Saccharomyces cerevisiae S288C: one gene and its partner. The gene in region 1 interacts genetically with each later gene. Each region holds a gene or a part of one and is shown on either strand. Other genes may lie near its edges.

What was found. Genes that interact genetically often act in the same process or in processes that back each other up.
Region 2: mutations in YGR237C (region 1) and SPR28 together harm fitness more than expected from each alone (negative genetic interaction), as found in Saccharomyces cerevisiae (one large-scale study listed by BioGRID).

The regions. Positions count from the first base shown.
Region 1 is NC_001139.9:962,658-974,022, reverse strand, and holds YGR237C (uncharacterized protein), read left to right. Parts: upstream 1-8,367; coding exon 8,368-10,725; downstream 10,726-11,365. Other genes in the region: PFK1 (6-phosphofructokinase subunit alpha), read left to right, coding at 289-3,252; PEX21 (Pex21p), read left to right, coding at 3,970-4,836; KEL2 (Kel2p), read left to right, coding at 5,336-7,984; SPG1 (Spg1p), read left to right, coding at 11,206-11,365.
Region 2 is NC_001136.10:903,453-911,140, forward strand, and holds SPR28 (septin SPR28), read right to left. Parts: upstream 1,601-7,688; coding exon 329-1,600; downstream 1-328. Other genes in the region: chromatin-binding protein RAD9, read right to left, coding at 1-28; MFB1 (Mfb1p), read right to left, coding at 2,003-3,400; GTB1 (Gtb1p), read left to right, coding at 3,878-5,986; YDR222W (uncharacterized protein), read left to right, coding at 6,602-7,688. UniProt on the Saccharomyces cerevisiae protein: Septins are GTPases involved in cytokinesis that assemble into filaments and form a ring at the cleavage site. May act by recruiting MYO1 and HOF1, a protein involved in septation, to the site of cleavage.

The DNA of each region.
Region 1 (11,365 bases):
CTTCCTTTTCTTTTTCTCTTTACTGGTTTTTTTACTTCTTTATTCTCAACCATCTAAAGAATATTATTGCTTTCTACCAATAAAATCTGTTAATTCTATTTGGATTGTCGTCTACTCAAGTCTCGCCTAGTAAATAAACGATAAACAAATTTGAAGTAAGAATAACAATATAGGGAGAGAAATTTTTCTATTTTTAATTTCGAAACAGGTACCAAAAAATCTAAGTTCACTTTAGCACTATTTGGGAAAGCTTTTATATAAAAAATCTGAAACAAAATCATATCAAAGATGCAATCTCAAGATTCATGCTACGGTGTTGCATTCAGATCTATCATCACAAATGATGAAGCTTTATTCAAGAAGACCATTCACTTTTATCACACTCTAGGATTTGCAACTGTGAAAGATTTCAACAAATTCAAACATGGTGAAAATAGCTTACTATCTTCAGGGACTTCCCAAGATTCCTTGAGAGAAGTTTGGTTAGAATCTTTCAAGTTGAGTGAGGTTGATGCTTCTGGGTTCCGTATACCACAACAAGAAGCTACTAACAAGGCTCAAAGTCAAGGTGCTCTATTAAAGATTCGTTTAGTGATGTCTGCTCCAATCGATGAAACTTTCGACACCAACGAAACCGCCACAATCACTTATTTCTCTACTGATTTGAACAAGATTGTCGAGAAATTCCCAAAACAAGCCGAAAAATTGTCCGATACCTTAGTGTTTTTGAAAGATCCAATGGGCAACAACATCACCTTCTCAGGCTTAGCTAATGCAACCGATTCCGCTCCAACTTCCAAAGATGCTTTCTTAGAAGCTACCTCCGAAGACGAAATCATCTCTAGAGCTTCTTCCGATGCTTCTGACTTACTAAGACAAACATTGGGCTCTTCTCAAAAGAAGAAGAAGATTGCTGTCATGACTTCTGGTGGTGATTCTCCAGGTATGAATGCCGCTGTTCGTGCCGTTGTTCGTACAGGTATACATTTCGGCTGTGATGTTTTTGCTGTTTACGAAGGTTACGAAGGTTTACTAAGAGGCGGTAAATATTTAAAGAAAATGGCTTGGGAAGATGTCAGAGGTTGGTTAAGTGAAGGTGGTACTTTGATTGGTACTGCTCGTTCTATGGAATTCAGAAAGCGTGAGGGTCGTAGACAAGCTGCAGGCAATTTAATTTCGCAAGGTATTGACGCTTTGGTTGTTTGTGGTGGTGATGGTTCTTTAACCGGTGCTGATCTTTTCAGACACGAATGGCCATCTTTGGTTGATGAATTGGTTGCAGAAGGTAGATTCACTAAAGAAGAAGTCGCCCCATACAAGAATTTGTCCATTGTTGGTCTTGTCGGTTCCATCGATAATGATATGTCTGGTACTGACTCTACCATTGGTGCTTATTCTGCTTTGGAAAGAATCTGTGAAATGGTTGACTACATTGATGCCACCGCTAAATCCCACTCCCGTGCCTTTGTTGTTGAAGTTATGGGTAGACATTGTGGTTGGTTGGCCTTGATGGCTGGTATTGCTACCGGTGCCGATTACATTTTTATTCCAGAAAGAGCTGTTCCTCACGGAAAATGGCAGGACGAATTGAAGGAAGTGTGCCAAAGACACAGAAGTAAGGGTAGAAGAAATAACACAATTATTGTCGCTGAAGGTGCTTTAGATGATCAATTAAACCCTGTTACTGCCAATGACGTCAAAGATGCTTTGATTGAATTGGGTCTAGACACCAAGGTAACCATTCTAGGTCACGTTCAAAGAGGTGGTACAGCTGTTGCTCATGACAGATGGTTAGCTACTCTACAAGGTGTCGATGCTGTTAAGGCCGTTCTGGAATTTACCCCTGAAACTCCTTCTCCATTAATTGGTATTTTAGAAAACAAGATAATTAGAATGCCATTGGTTGAATCTGTGAAGTTGACTAAATCTGTTGCCACTGCCATTGAAAACAAAGATTTCGATAAGGCAATTTCTTTAAGAGACACAGAATTTATTGAACTTTACGAAAACTTCTTATCCACTACCGTTAAAGATGATGGTTCCGAATTATTGCCAGTATCTGACAGACTAAACATTGGTATTGTCCATGTTGGTGCCCCATCTGCTGCTTTGAACGCTGCCACCCGTGCCGCAACTCTATACTGTTTGTCTCACGGCCATAAACCATACGCTATCATGAATGGTTTCAGTGGATTGATTCAAACCGGTGAAGTGAAGGAACTATCATGGATTGATGTCGAAAACTGGCATAACTTGGGTGGTTCCGAAATCGGTACGAACAGATCTGTTGCTTCAGAAGATTTGGGTACCATTGCTTACTACTTCCAAAAGAACAAGCTAGACGGTTTGATTATTCTTGGTGGTTTTGAAGGTTTCAGGTCCTTGAAGCAATTGCGTGACGGTAGAACCCAACACCCAATCTTTAACATTCCAATGTGTTTGATTCCAGCCACTGTTTCTAACAACGTTCCAGGTACTGAATACTCACTTGGTGTTGATACCTGTTTGAACGCATTAGTCAATTACACTGATGACATCAAACAGAGTGCTTCTGCGACAAGAAGAAGAGTCTTCGTCTGTGAAGTCCAAGGTGGTCACTCTGGTTACATCGCTTCTTTCACTGGTTTAATCACTGGTGCTGTTTCAGTGTACACTCCAGAAAAGAAGATCGACTTAGCTTCTATCAGAGAAGATATAACTCTATTAAAAGAGAACTTTCGTCACGACAAAGGTGAAAACAGAAACGGTAAGCTATTGGTTAGAAACGAACAAGCTTCTAGCGTATATAGCACTCAATTGTTGGCTGACATCATCTCTGAAGCAAGCAAGGGTAAGTTTGGTGTTAGAACTGCTATCCCAGGCCATGTTCAACAAGGTGGTGTTCCATCTTCTAAAGACCGTGTCACCGCTTCCAGATTTGCTGTCAAATGTATCAAGTTTATCGAACAATGGAACAAGAAAAATGAAGCTTCTCCAAACACTGACGCTAAGGTTTTGAGATTCAAGTTCGATACTCACGGTGAAAAGGTACCAACTGTTGAGCACGAAGATGACTCTGCTGCTGTTATCTGTGTTAATGGTTCTCACGTTTCCTTCAAGCCAATTGCTAACCTTTGGGAAAACGAAACCAACGTTGAATTAAGAAAGGGTTTTGAAGTTCACTGGGCTGAATACAACAAGATTGGTGACATCCTGTCCGGTAGATTAAAGTTGAGAGCTGAGGTAGCCGCTTTAGCCGCTGAAAACAAATGAATGATTGCAATGAAAAGTTTAAGTTAAGCAAAAGGAGGTAAAAATGGCATGCACTTTAATTTTTATACAATCGTTTTTTTGTCATAAGACTTATTTATGTATCTGTTGTTTTTCTTTTTCTATCCTCTATTTTTGTCTATTTGTCTTTGTTTTACTCTTTTTCATTATTATTTCTTTATATAATTTTTGTACGATATGATACACATAACAATGAGCAATGAACATATTTCTAATCCTAACCATTAGATATACTTTTCAACTGAGGAATAATGGCGCCTTGATTAAACTAAGCTATGGAATTTGCATTATTCAAGTTTTAGGGTGTGCTTAATCTGCGTTGACAATGGTTCACGAAGACGACATCGGCAACTTTGCTGTACTACAAATTGCTCTGAATGTGAGGCTGATCCACATCATAGTGAGGCGCGCTACCTTAATTGTAGTCGTATTGTCATCGGTCTACGAATACCGTTTGGTTTATTTGTCGGCCTTTTTTCTTTCCGTTTCTTTTTATCTTTCCGCTGGAAAAATGGAAACTAGTGCCGATAATCGGAGATGGGATGACTAAATATTTCTTTAAGGCATTGGCAATGTTCAAACCTCTGATAGAACGGCAGATATATATTTAAGAGAATATAGTCAAGGTTGACGCCGCATACTTTGGTTTTGTTTCAAAAAGAAACAGGTGAAAAATTATAAAGACCAAACTAGAATACCATGCCCAGTGTCTGCCATACAAGCCCGATAGAAAAGATTATCCAACAAGGGCATCGCATACAGAATGATTCCTTAATACCGTCAAAACGCACCAAGCTGGCCCATACGGAATTAACAGCACACTATGCCACTGAAGACTCGCATGTGGAAAAACACTTTTTGCATAATGGTAGTAATTTTGACGGCATTGACAATGTAAGGTATCAAAATCAACCCTCTCCATTAACCTTCATTACTCCAAACAACACTGTAGATTCCAGTGATTGGGTTCCGCAGTTCTCGTCTATGAAGATTGACGATTCACTAGAGTTTAGCTCAGAATATAAAAGGTTGTATTCCAATTACGAGTCACAGCAGCGCCTGAATTCAAGCAGACAACACTTACCTTTTAAGAATTGTATGATAAGGAAGACAAGTTGCACTTACCCACCTCAAAAGACGCTTCGACAGCAACGCCAAGGAAACCGGGACAACCCAACGGATGCGTTTCAATTCGACGCGGAGTTCCAAGTTTTGGAGAGAGAAATTCAAAAAGAGCGGTACGAGCCCATAACACGTCGGGACGAGAAATGGTTCGACCAAGATCAGTCGGAACTGCAAAGGATTGCCACAGATATAGTAAAATGCTGTACTCCACCGCCTTCGTCTGCATCCTCCTCTTCTACTCTTTCCTCCTCTGTCGAATCAAAACTATCTGAGTCGAAGTTTATTCAGTTAATGAGAAACATTAGTAGCGGTGACGTGACTTTAAAGAAAAATGCAGATGGAAATTCCGCAAGCGAGTTATTCTCATCCAACAACGGGGAACTGGTCGGAAACAGGCACATTTTCGTCAAGGACGAAATTCACAAAGACATACTTGATTGATATAGGCAGTTTCTACAATTGTACCTCTTGTAACTACTACATACGTTGATATATGTTTACAGATAGCTAAGAATATCAAAATCATGAATATGTGCCCTTATGTGTTCTCTGCGCTGAGGAGTATCGCAGCTTCACTCCTGCAGATGCATGCCCTACCTACTGTCATGCCCATCTCTCTCGTTTAAAACTTACTACACCTTTTTTGTGCATGGATTGTGCTGATGTAAGCTGCACGAAATGACACGCTTGTGAATTTTTTCTTCTCTTGGGAGAAACTGTGAAGAAAAAAAAAAAAGCTTCGCAAAACCCGAATTAGTCTCGAAGGAAGTAATTACCTTGTGAAAGGGTCTTTTGGGATACTAATTTATTATGAAGTTTGGTTTTGGTGTTGCTTGCTCTTTTTTTTTTCAATTTTGAAATGCGTACACGTGAATTTTAGCATAGGTTGTAACAAAAAAAAAAAATGATTTGGATGAGGCAGGCAACCCCTTAAGTAGCTATGGTACCTTTCAAGCTGACAAATAAGGTACCTACGGACACGGGACCTTCTCTGATTTCAGCGCAAAGTGTACCCAGACCAATAGTTTTTATGGATAATCGAAACAATACGCGAATAGTAACACCTACGCTACCTCCAAACCAGCATAGAGGCATATCAGGCGCGTCGACTGCTCTTCCCTGGTCTCCAGAGAGTAAGAATACAGGGAAGTATATTTGGAATAGGGTCAAACTAAAAAACTCTCCGTTTCCCCGTTATCGACACTCTTCCTCATTTATTGTTACGAATGATAACAGGATTTTTGTGACCGGTGGACTTCACGATCAATCGGTATATGGGGATGTCTGGCAAATAGCCGCTAACGCGGATGGTACGAGCTTTACTTCCAAGAGAATCGATATTGATCAAAATACACCTCCCCCAAGAGTGGGACATGCCTCTACTATATGCGGTAATGCCTATGTTGTGTTTGGTGGCGACACACACAAGCTGAATAAGAACGGACTGTTGGATGATGATCTTTATCTTTTCAATATTAATTCTTATAAGTGGACCATACCACAACCTATCGGCCGTAGGCCGTTGGGCAGGTACGGCCATAAAATTTCTATAATTGCTAGCAACCCTATGCAAACTAAACTATATCTTTTTGGCGGACAAGTAGATGAAACTTATTTTAACGATCTGGTCGTCTTTGATTTATCATCATTCCGTAGGCCGAATTCTCATTGGGAATTTTTAGAGCCTGTCGGCGACCTGCCTCCTCCTTTAACAAATCATACAATGGTGGCATATGACAACAAATTATGGGTATTCGGCGGGGAAACTCCCAAGACAATAAGCAATGATACATACCGCTACGATCCAGCACAAAGTGAGTGGTCTAAAGTTAAAACCACAGGAGAAAAGCCTCCGCCAATACAAGAGCATGCTAGTGTGGTGTATAAACATTTAATGTGTGTGTTAGGCGGTAAGGATACCCATAACGCATATTCCAACGATGTCTATTTTTTAAACTTATTATCGCTAAAATGGTATAAGCTTCCCCGTATGAAGGAGGGCATACCTCAAGAACGCTCTGGACATTCTTTAACCTTAATGAAGAATGAGAAGCTTCTTATCATGGGTGGCGACAAAACTGACTATGCCAGCCCAAATATTCACGATCTACAAACTTCAGAAACTGACCAAGGCGAAGGAACTTTACTGTATACCTTAGATTTATCATCTTTGAATGAGCTATGCCCAGGAATAATGTGTGAATCACTACATGCAGGAGAAAGTTTTTCTAATAGTCTTTCCGGGGGCTTTACACCCTCTAAGTCTACCGAAAGTGAAAATCAAGAGATAATAAACATTCTTACACCAAGATTGCCTGATAGCAAAGTTTTGAGTTATAATGATATTGATGAAGGGGCTGGAAGTTACTCCAGCGCTTTGGATGATAAGGCATTTGAACGAAAATCAGATAGGGAGGAAAAGAAACCCCAATCTTCCAAAGTTGATTCAAGCATCAATAAGGAAAGTCCGGGAACTGGTATCAAAGTATCTAAAAAAAATTTCCCTGTTCTACGAGGACTAACAGTGGATTCAGAAGAGTATGGCTCTTCTTCATATAAGGACACATCATGTCAAAAAGGAATTCCCAAAAATCTTTTTGATGATTTAAACCTGAACCTACAAACATTACGTCTCGAAGCTCAACAAAAGGAACTTGAAACTGCTAGACATATTTCACAATTAGAAAAGGAAGTCCAGAGACTCATGGTAATAAAAGAAGCTTCAAAAGATTCAAATTTTCAAACAGCACGGCTTAAAAATCTAGAAATTCAGAAAACCTTTTTAGAATCTAGAATTAATGATTTAAAAAATTTATTGATGGTCAAATTATCTCAGGCAAGTAAACTCTGTGACCAAATTACGATTCAAAATAATGGACTTAAAACATGCTCCGAACATGTCACTATTAAAAGGGATATCATCGATCTTGAGAATAAATGTGATGTTTTGAAGCGCCAGAACGAAATACTTGTAAATAATATGCAAAAAATAACCCCCGAACTTCATACCTATTTGAACGAATCGTCCTGCTATCTGGGTAAATTATTAAAAAGCTATCCTACCAGTGCACGGCCACCTTCAAGTGAGAAAGATAATCAAATATATGAGAAAGATTCGCTGAACAAAATAGAAAAAGTAATAAATGAAATGCACGAAACCGTGCGTGCTAAAGAGAAATTGCACCTTGAAACTCAGAAGCTTAATGATGAAAGAGATTCTTTGCGGGCTAATTTACTCGACAATAACAACAAGTTGGATGCGCTAAGAAAACTCTCTGATGGAAGCTCGAAGTCTATGGACCTAACAAAGAAGGCTATTCACCTATCACAATCCGAGCTCGAAAAATATCGTAAAAACAACGACGATTTACAGAAGGAGATTGATAGAATTAAAACTGAACAAGCTGAACAGGATGACAAGCAGGAACAGCGTGGCGCCATCACTCATGGAAATTTTGATGCGTTCCACAGAATGAAAATCAACAATCTGAAAGCGGAACTGTATATGTCGAAAGAAAATAGAGATTCCCTCAAGGACGAACTGCTAGCTTTAAAAAAAAAACTATATACTCTCGAACAAAAAAAATAGTCATTGGAAGACGTTGTTACGCACTGGGAAGTCAATATGTACAAAGTATATAAAAATATATTTAAACACCTATAAGGACATTGTAAACATTAAGTATTAATAGAAGGAGAATATAATTGCCAACTAAGCCTTTTGAGGTTAATATTCAATGGTGCAAAATTAGTAGCCGCGGTTATTATTATTCGCCGGGTAAAGAGCCCGCTTTTCTAGGGGGATTTTAGGTGAGCATGCCTCTAGAAAGCCAGAAGGACCCTTAACGAAGCGAAACTGTTCAGAAGAATGAATAAAAAGACACATTGAAAAAAAGAATATTGTCGCACTGTACATAAGGGAGAAGCTGTAATCCCTGGCAAACTGCTAATATCTAATAAAAATAATAGAAGATGTCATCTGCAAAGACATTTACTAAGCATATCTCGTTTGATGATCTGGCACCTTCCTTAATTGATGACCAAGCTACCATTATTAAAAATGACAGTCACCATGTTGGCTTGAATAATCATTTTTTACATATACCTCCACAATTTAATCCTGTTTACAAAAATACTTTGACCGGTAGCCATGGCTCTAATGACCTTGCCACTGACGAAAGCTTGGACTCACCCGAAGACGAAGAAGCTTCTTCGCCACTACAACTAGGAACTCCAACGTCTACAACATCTGGAGTTCCTCACTTCTATACTCAGGTATTTTCTCCTGCAGCACATGATCCCTCCAAAAGCTATTTGAGATCGCCCAGCGTTGAAAGAAGTAGAAGTGAGTCTCCAATGTTCAGGTCAAGAAGAAGGACTTCAGTGAGGTTGCCTCCCCCTCCAAAAGTATCCGTGCTAAAAAAATCTCGAAAAGCTGCTGATGAACAGGGCCCTATTGATGATATTGATATTGGTGATTTGGATTTTGAGCTGGAAAGAAAAATGACCAAAATGACCGAAAGAAACACTCAAAAAAATTCTGGATCAAGGAAAGGCTATACGCAAGCTGCATTTGCCAATCTTAATGAAGTTGAAGATAGAATTGAGACCAAGTCAATGGTAGATTTATCCGAAAGCGAAAATATGGAGAGCTCAAAGAAAAGGTCCAAGTCGTTTGCCGGGATGACAGACGAAGAATTAGCCAAATTAGAGGAATTTTATATAAGTAAAGGAAGATCGAACAAGACTAAAATAGATCAATTTGATTTTGGTGAGCAAGTTCCAGTCTATTTGAACACAACAGAGTCAAAAACGGATTCAAGCAACGTGACGGACCCTTTAGCAGCAATTTATCCATCAAGGCCTACAATTGTTCACAATGCAATTTCAATGACAATTGATCATCCAGACTATGAAAATTATATTTCCAATACAAAAGAAAAGCTCAATTGCAAAGACAAAGATGACGATGTAGATTTAAGAGTTGTTTCGTGTTATATATCAGGTAGGAGATATACTTGGTCATCTGTGGACTGGTATGTTGAAAATTTGACAAGAAATGGTGATCATTTAGTCATAATTACTACAATTCCTGAGTTTGAAGCAAAGATTGATACTCTAGCATATAAGGAGAAAAGAAGGCACCGCTTAGAAAGGATGACTAGCAATACTAGTGAAAGCATGACTACCGCGTCACATAGCCTTATAGGCCCGGATCTCTCTAGTCCTTTATCAACGGGAATAAGAATAGAAGCTATTCATAATGAGGCTAAGCAAACTTGTAGCGATATTTTAAATTACTACGCGAGAAGATTGGCAACTAAAATAGTTAGGATTAGTATTGAGATGGTAAAAGAAAATTCAACAAGATCAGCCATAATATCTGCGACCTCTCTGTATAGGCCAAGTTTGCAAGTAATCAGCACCGTTAGTGCCAACATTCAAATCAAGTTTAGAAATGGAAAAGTGAAACTACCATTTTTTTTAATGAAACACTTTGCAATGCCAGCATTTGTTGTCCCATTCGAATTCATCAAGCCTGAGCTTTTAATAAAACCTAGAGTGGATAAAGATGAACAGGACAACAGCGATGATTTGAAAACGGAAGTGAGAAAAAAGGAACGATTGCAATGGCTAAGTGCATTAATCAGGAGAACTTTGGAAAACCCTTTCACAAAACATAAAGTGGTTGATTCGGATGATGAAGAAAGCGATAGTGATGAGTCAGTAACCTCTGTAAATGAGTACTTCCCAATCTCACCTGAAAAAAAGGAAGAAATGGAATTCTTCGATAAGATGGGATATGTTAGACCAAAACCGTCGAGACAAGTACTATTGGATGATAACACTCTTATGAAGTACGACAGTTCTGGCCGAAAGCTAACTCCTATAGAATCGAGAAATTCGAGGCGCAGCTCAAAGCGGAGTTCAAGAATACAATTCAACAATAACGGCATTTATAAAGTAAAGTCCATGGTTGATGACATTTACAACCACGAAACTGCCTCTACGCCTCATATCAAGACAGCACTAAAATGGGACAATGAGGATCCGAAAATGAAGTTCACTTCACATCCAATGAGAAAAACAAAATCCGCAGGGCTATCACCCAGAACATCCTCCACTTCATCTTCTTCAGGACAGAGAAAAGCGCATCACCACCACCATCACCACAACCACGTTTCAAGGACGAAAACTACCGAAAGCACCAAATCAGGCAACAGCAAAAAGGACAGTTCCTCATCCTCAACAAACGACCATCAATTTAAAAGGTCTGAAAAGAAGAAAAAAAGTAAATTTGGCTCGATCTTCAAAAAAGTTTTCGGATGAACCGGATTAATACAAGTAAAATCAGCAAAGATATAGAAGACAAAATAAGCGTGAAAACAATCATAAACCACTCACAACGGGGGTTTTCAGCTGTTACTCCTCCATACATACATTTTGATAAAGATATAATGTTATATTTCTTTTCGTAATTTTGTTTTACTTCGGTTTGCTCTATAGATTTCATCAGCCGCACCGAAAAGGGAGATCAATAAGGTACCCTTTAAAAGGGATAAGAAGCCTACATCACCCCAATAAATGGAGTAATGGCCAGCATTGGATGAAGAGAAGAATTACGGGATACTGGGATAACACTGTTAAAAATGCTTCGCGACGTGAGGGTCTTCTTCATATAAATTGAACTGCCAAATCTCTTTCACATTATCCAGGATAGTTTGGAATGTGTGTTACTGAAGGATCAGAATCAATAAATACAATCAATACAAATATTTAGCGCATAAAATTCAAACAAAGTTTACTGAAATGAAGTTAGATTCAGGAATATACTCAGAGGCACAAAGAGTTGTGAGAACTCCAAAGTTTAGATATATTATGTTAGGGCTGGTGGGCGCTGCTGTGGTACCGACCGCATACATGAGGAGAGGCTATACGGTTCCTGCACATAGCTTAGACAACATCAACG
Region 2 (7,688 bases), on another chromosome or scaffold:
TTTTCCATTGAACTAACTGGCCTGACATAGCCCTGATGTTGAAGATTTTCTCACTATGCTCTTTTCTATGGCGTTTCTCTATCTTGCTCACTTCACATTGCTCATCGTTGCAAATATCCACGAACAAAAATCCTCGCGTGTTTAATCAGAACTGCACTCTGAAAATTCAAAGCCGTGCCAGTAATAAGAAAGACACAAGGTTATATAGAGACACATCGAGAAAGTATATTATAGATTAAAAAAATTTTGCCTTATACTTTAGTGCACTTGAAAAAGCAATAAAATTTTATTTCATATGTATCTAACGCTAACAAGGCCGTATATTTATTTAGACCTTATTTTGATGGGGAGCTGCCAACATTTTCTCCAATAAATCAATCTTCCTTTGATAGTCTTCAATAATTCTGTTTTTTTCGTCTATTTCTTTGTGTATTTGATAAGCATTTTCATCGTTTGTATCTGGATTCCCAAGTGTTCTACTTGCACTATTTCTTCTGGTGGAAACATTGCTGACACTTCCCCTTGAGGTTTCGTCGATATAGCTATAGTTTGGAATATCATAGTTGTTTTTCTTCTCAGTTAACACTTTAGCCCTATAATTTTCATACAATACGTTGTTTGTTACATCTTTTAATTCCTGAAGGTGAGAACCTAACAGTATTGCTTTTAAGTATATAAAATCGGAGGTGTTTTGGTCTTCGACCACCAAGCTACCCCATTCGTACGTTCTGATATGCTCAACCCTATTTTCCGAATTTTTATTAAAAGTTTTGCTGCAAACAATGGCAAATGGCGATATTTCCTTGATCTTCGTGTCATTATCGTATTTGGATTTTGCTGAACTGGAATCGATGTCCATATCGTACAGAGCTAATGTTTCGCCTAGGGTGTCACTTTTAAAATCAAAAACACGTATATTGTTCTGAGAGATTTCTTGGCGCACAATGTCTTTGTGTAAATTTAATTCAGTTTCTGTGAGACCATCGGCTTTTGGAATAATGGGAATTAAATTAACTTTATCACAAATCGTTTTCATTAACTCAATATCAAATTTTTTGACTCCTCTTGGAGTACTCTTCAGAAAGTATAAACAAACATGAGGCCTCCCATCAGTTTCTTTTGTGTTTCTCTTTATTCTGACCTCTTCTTTTAAAACATTTGCAAACTGTTGGTCTAAGTAGTTTTTTATAACAACAGAGCTTTGTGAATTGTCGACATTGTCACCGCAGCCTGGAAACAATATGATATCTAATGTTATGGGTACGCCTAGTTCATCGTTCAAATACACTCTTCTGGTGACAAGCTTCAGCCCAGGACTCAAATGGGCTGTTTTATATCCAGGATCTATATCTTCGATGGCGTTTCCATTTTCTGGTGTTACATTATTTGTCACTTTATCATCATCATCATCATAATCCCCATCAGAAAGCGATATATCCTGACCGCACAGATTGTTTAAAAACGTTGATTTGCCGCTGCCTTTTTCTCCAAGTAACAAAATTGACAACTGCAGTCCTTTCTTGTAACCCTTGCGACGTCTTAACTCATCTCTGCTGAGAGTATGTTGTTCAAGAGCTGAGTGATCTTTCATTGGGAACATTTGATTATTTACTGACTTTATGTACGTATAGTAGCTCTTTTTTTGTATCGATTTATAAAAATGCCTGTTCTTACTATTCTTATGGGAATGACACAAAATGTAGACGCATGTCTTTTTCAGGCGTCCTTAATATGAGCGATCAAATTTCGCATCAAAAAAACTTTATTGAAGTTAGAATATATGAAAAAAAGCCACGAAATTTCTAAAGGCAACCACAAATTGTCTTATTATTGATAGAATATAAAAAATAAGTCATTTATTTATATGTACATCTGTGCAAATGGTAGCGGCGCTCTTTAACTGTTTCTACATACCATGCATGCTTGTCTAAAACCATTTCGAAGTTCCGTTGCTAATTCAGAGAAAACTCTTCCAAGCAAAGTCGGTTTGAGGCGTTTTCTGTTATATATTAAAATCGGTATTAGCGTCAAGCCGTTTGATTACATGATCATTCGTATTCGACCCACTAGGGTTATCCAATTCGATTTTGCGATAGCATATCTTATTACCGTCTGTAACAACCGCCTTTAATTTGCTTCTTTGATGAGGTTTGGATAATTCTATTACTGGGGAAGTGTGACTTCTTTGAAATTTATTTTCATCATTTTTCTCTGTTATTCCTTTACAGTTCGAGCTATTTTCTTTTATAATTAATTGTTCATAATTTGCTATCTTTGTACTGTTGACTCTTTTAATTGCTAGAGGATTAGTTGTTTCACCGTTAAAATCGGGATAATGCCTTTCAATCTCCTCTAAATAACCTCTTGAGACGCTCCTTCTGCCAACTTTCGGTAGTATGTCAGAAGGGGGACTTATGATTTTCCTAAAATCTTCGTCATTAGCACTTAACGAACTGGATAATTTCAATCTTGGATTGTCCTTTTTCTTTGTTTTTAATGGTCTGCTATCTCTAAAAATTAACTTCTCAAAAAGTTCGGCTTTATCCTTGACTTTATTAGATTTTCTCAATCTTGTGATTGAGTCAGACGATTCAGTAGATGTAGGCGTCATCTCTTTATAATCAGGATCTCGTGACTTAGTGAAATCCATTGTAATATTATTCCAATCATCGTCCAGTAGTTTGGGCGATGAACTTGAAAATACAGAATTTGTTGAACTTCTAGAATAATTAGAAAATGTCGGAGAAGGGATAAAAGGTGGCTTTTTGACTAAGTCTTCTTCAAATGTTGTATTTTTTTCCAATCCGTGGAGAGAATGTATTTCTCCATTATTCTCCTCTATGTATGTATCATCAGAATCCGCTGAATGGGTCCTAAATGCTTTATCATTGAGTTCGATGAATTGATTCATTCCTTGTAGTATTGCAGTATGAGCGATTTGCTCCCTTGTTATTTCTGTAGGTTCGTTCAAATCCATATTTAAATCTTTCACAGAGCCCTTTTCTTTGCTCTCAACTTCATTTGTTCTATAACTTATTGTCTTTCTAGCCGGATCAATAACGCCTAGTTTATATTTCCGCTGAACATTTCTTAATGATGCGACCAGGGATATGTTGTGACTATTTAAGGTTTTCATTGCCTTTCTATTAAAATTCAAAACATCAAAGACATCAACAAGAACATTTTTTGTCCACCACATATTCCCGTTTGAGCCGATAACAGCATTTCTGTAAACAATGTTCTCATTCGCCAGCATCCTTAGCAAGGTGCAAGTTTTCCCTATGTTTTGTAAATCATTCATATCCAGGTGAGACAATATTCGGAACAATAGGTTTAATGGTAAGTTTGTCAGGGACCTTTCCTCCAGCGGCATCTGTACACTACAAGAAAATAATGTCATCTATGTGGTTGAAGGAACTATAACTAATTCTGGAACAAAAGTGAACTTTCCTTGTGCAGTTTGGCCAATTTGTTTTGATATTTTGTATGAGGATATTTAGCAAGTAGTAACAGAGACTCCTTGGTTATTTGAAAACTTTCCCTTTGTTTAAACTATAGCAAAGTATAACTTTCCTTTTCCTATTTTGTGAAAAAGTAAGTAAATATTGTTATCTCCTCCCAACTGGTTAAATACTGGGTAGGTGCACAAGCGTTTATAGTTTCTAAGAAGACAGCACCAGGAATAATGATAAACAGTTGTTTGGGTCAAAACAAAACGGGTATTGCCAATGCCTTTTAAAATACTTACCCGGCCATAAAATGAATAATAATAGTGTATGAAGACTGTGTTGGAAGATGTTATGGTAGAAGCAGAGGCTTCCGCACTGCATTTAAGAAGCATAAAGGCACTTCTGCTATTTCATTAAGAAGATTCGCTATGGTGAGCATGTTCTCATTATTTCTGCTATTAATTGAGCAATCGCCGCTTGTAGCGTCATTGCAACAAAGTCAACGGCATATAGTGGGTGTTCCCTGGGAAAAGCAGCACTTGTATGACTCGAATGAACCAGATTTGACTAAATGGCACTGTTTGAACCACGAAGATATCGTATTGGATATAAGCCAGATTAATGATGGGGTTTGTGATTGTCCTGATGGTTCAGATGAGCCCGGCAGCGCCGCCTGCGTGGAAGATATATTCAAAAGCGTTGCAGAGGGAGGTGGTAAAGTGAATAAGTATTTTTATTGTGATAACAAGGGGTTTATTCCAAGATATATACGAAAATCGGAAGTCGCAGATGGTATTTGTGACTGCTGTGACTGTTCTGACGAGCTACTTTCTGGATATGAGCTCTTTGATGCTGGATCTAATTGTTCTCAGTTAAAAAACGAATTTGACATTATGGCCTCTAAAGAGTTATCAAGTTACCGGGAAGGTAAAGAGGCCCTAGAAGAACTGGAAAGAAAATACGGTACAAAGGAAGAGGCTATCACCCGTGGTAATTGCTTAGAAGAAGATAAGGAAAAAGCTTCTGCCGAGATAAAAGTACTCTCCAACAGGCTCTCAGAAAATCGAGCCAAATTAGAGCAGTTGAGAGGCGAGTACTTTAACCAATTAAGCCATGATCCCATTTTGTATCAATTTGAACAATTAAACAGTACTCGTTTGGGATCGGACATCCTTACATCGTTCACTATGGTTTCAAGAGTAAGTAAAGGTTACCAGGACATATTCAAGATTTTAAGTGATTTATCAGAGGCCTATACTCCCTCGCTAAATGATAAAGTTGTCAATGATAATATTAAAAAATTCAGAAAAGTTAGAAGACGGGCTGAAAAGGCTAAAATTAATGCAGATAGCAAAATTGATGATGAGCAGGCAGATAATCTTTACTTGTACTTTACAGAAGAAGTACCTCAAATTTTTTTGAAAAGAGAATCTGAGAACACGTTGAGGTACGTCATAGGAAAATCCAATTTTGTTCAAGCGCTAGTGGAGGGTAAAATTAACTATACCAACGATATCTTGGAGTATATCAGAGAATTCCGTTTGATTATGGATGATATTTCTCAGAATTACAATGTTAACTTTCAAGATGCAGGGGTCAAAAGTGCTGTCGATTCGTATAAAAACTACCTAGGTGAATACGGCGAACTGGCTGAATTAGAACCAGCTCACCCGTCAGAGAGCCTTTTGAGATCGTTGAGCGAAGTAACATCATTTGTGAACGAGAATGCACCAAAGGTATTGCCACCAGACGCTGTTGAGTCAGAACAAGATACGAACAGCGATCATATCGGTACTTCTGGAGATTTGCGCAATAAACTCAAAGAGATTCTATCTAAGCTGAATATTTTTTCATCTAGAAAAGATTTGGTCTCATTAGAGAAGAGATTCCGCTCTTGTGAAAGTCAAGTCAGTCTCCTGGAGAATGAATTAAAGCAAAAAATGGACTATAAGAAATTATTAGATGAAACTGAAGATGAAGGAACTAATTCTACTGCAGGAAATCTGACTGAGCTTTTAGAACTAATGGGATCACAATCCTATTGTCTTGACGACATACTGGACAACTATGTGTACACTATATGCTTTCAACGTCCAATGACCGAAGGTGTCATATATCAAGCTGAGGATAAGGTTGACGGTAAAAAAGTTTTGATCGGTCGTTTTAAGACATCAGGTTTTAATGTTGACTTAAACATGGAAAAATACGCAGAACATTTAAAGGCCACATATGATGAGAAGAGTGATTTGATTTCAAACTTAGCAGCTATACAGGACGATGACGGTAACATGCAACATTACGTATTCGGGAACTTAAACGAACTGAATAATGGTCTGGTACTAGAATACGAAAATGGAGACCAGTGCTGGAATGGTCCGCGCAGATCGGCTACTGTATTTGTTCGGTGCAGCGACAAATTCAAGATTCGGAGTGTACATGAAGCGACTAAGTGCAACTACATCTTCGATGTCGTTGGTCCTCTAGGCTGCAACAAGACTTTCGAATACGAGCCCCCTAAGTTCAATTTAAGTGAATGACTGGAAAATGAGTAGTTAGGCTTTTTTAGTAAGTAAACAACTAGGAAGGCCGATGCTGTGCCGTGATACTCTTTTCCGCAACAAAAGCAATATTTCCCTCGGCCAAAACGCGAAAAGACGATAAATAAGTATATCGTTCCAAATACTGATAGTTCTGTACGACCTGTTGGAATAACGCGAAAAGAAGGGTACGGCGTAATCACCCCACACGGCTTGTATTTTTTTCGGAGAACTAAGTCATAGACGTAATGCTAATTTTTCCGTCTAGCCGATGTTTATGCGGCTTTTATTTTTTTTTTTTTTTTTTTCTCATCTTTGTTCTTCCGGTTTCCAAGATGTCTCACAGATTATTACAGTGAATTCCAAAATCATGTTTACTACTGGAATTTGTATGCATATGTTTTGGCAATCTTAAGCCTACGGATTTTAAATGTGATGGATATAACGAACAGTGTTTACTGGAGACTCACTTCTCTGGGCTTGAGTTTACGATGTATAGTCATATAAAAATGAAGAAATTTCTTGAGTGACAATTGCCGCCGTACTTCGTATTGTCTTTTCTTGACAGTGAGGGCGTATAAGATACATCGTACATACATAGAGACTCATTTAGTGATGCTTGAATCGAGCAGTGATAAGATAAAGTTTGCGCCTATTAAAGAGGTAGATTACAAAAAACCGGTAAGTAAGAGTAAGAACTATACTCTTATTAATGACATCCAACCATTGGAGTGGTATTGTCACAATGATAGTGAAACGGGCTACCAACACACCATAAGTAACAAGACAGATGGTGGTAGAGGTTTATTCAGAGTGATGAAAAAATCGATGGAGACCAGAGTCGAGACCCAAACGTTATATTTCACAGATTTGCATACAGGCTTGTGTGGATTTGTTCAATTACTGTATTCTACGGTTATGGGTGGTATCTATAAAGGCTTCCAATTGAATTTCAAGGTTTTTGGCTCAGAAAGTAATAATACTGACTACGACGTTTGGGAAAGTTTTAAATTGGATGACATAGCTGAATTTCAACCATTAAAGTTTGTCTCTAGAAATGTTATTTTTGAATTTTTGAGCAACAAAAATGAAAAATTAGGTTCCATTGGCCAGTTATCTATCAAATGTGATTTACCAACATGTAACAATACAATTCAAAATTTGAAAATCGATTTGTTGGTGGATTTGTTTCAAGGTTTTAAGATGAACCCCAACGGTTGCAATTATTATTTTGACAAACAAATCTCGATGAGTGACGAATTCGTTTCCTCAGACAAAATGATCAGACATGTTTTTGTGCCCAGAGGTAAATGTAATGGTAATATTTCCTACGATAAAAAACTCAATAGTGGGGACTTTCAAAATAAAAATATTTCATTAACTGATGTTCCTGTCGTTTATCTGGACGCTGTTCAAGGTCTTTTGCCGAATAAAGCAGCCAGTAAATGGAATTTCCTATGTTTTCAGAGCGAAAACTACTCTGTTTTAGCAATTGAATTCACTACTCCTCGAGATCATGATAACGTCACCGTAACAGTTTGGTCAATTACTGAAAAAAACAAACTGATATCTATTGGTTCTTCTGTGCAGAGCCCAAAACGTCATGTTAGGTTCCGTGCTACGAGTACAGATAAGGAAAGCGGCTGGGTATATCCAACCTCTATCAAGTTCCCCGGTGGATTTTCAGAACACGACTTGAGGC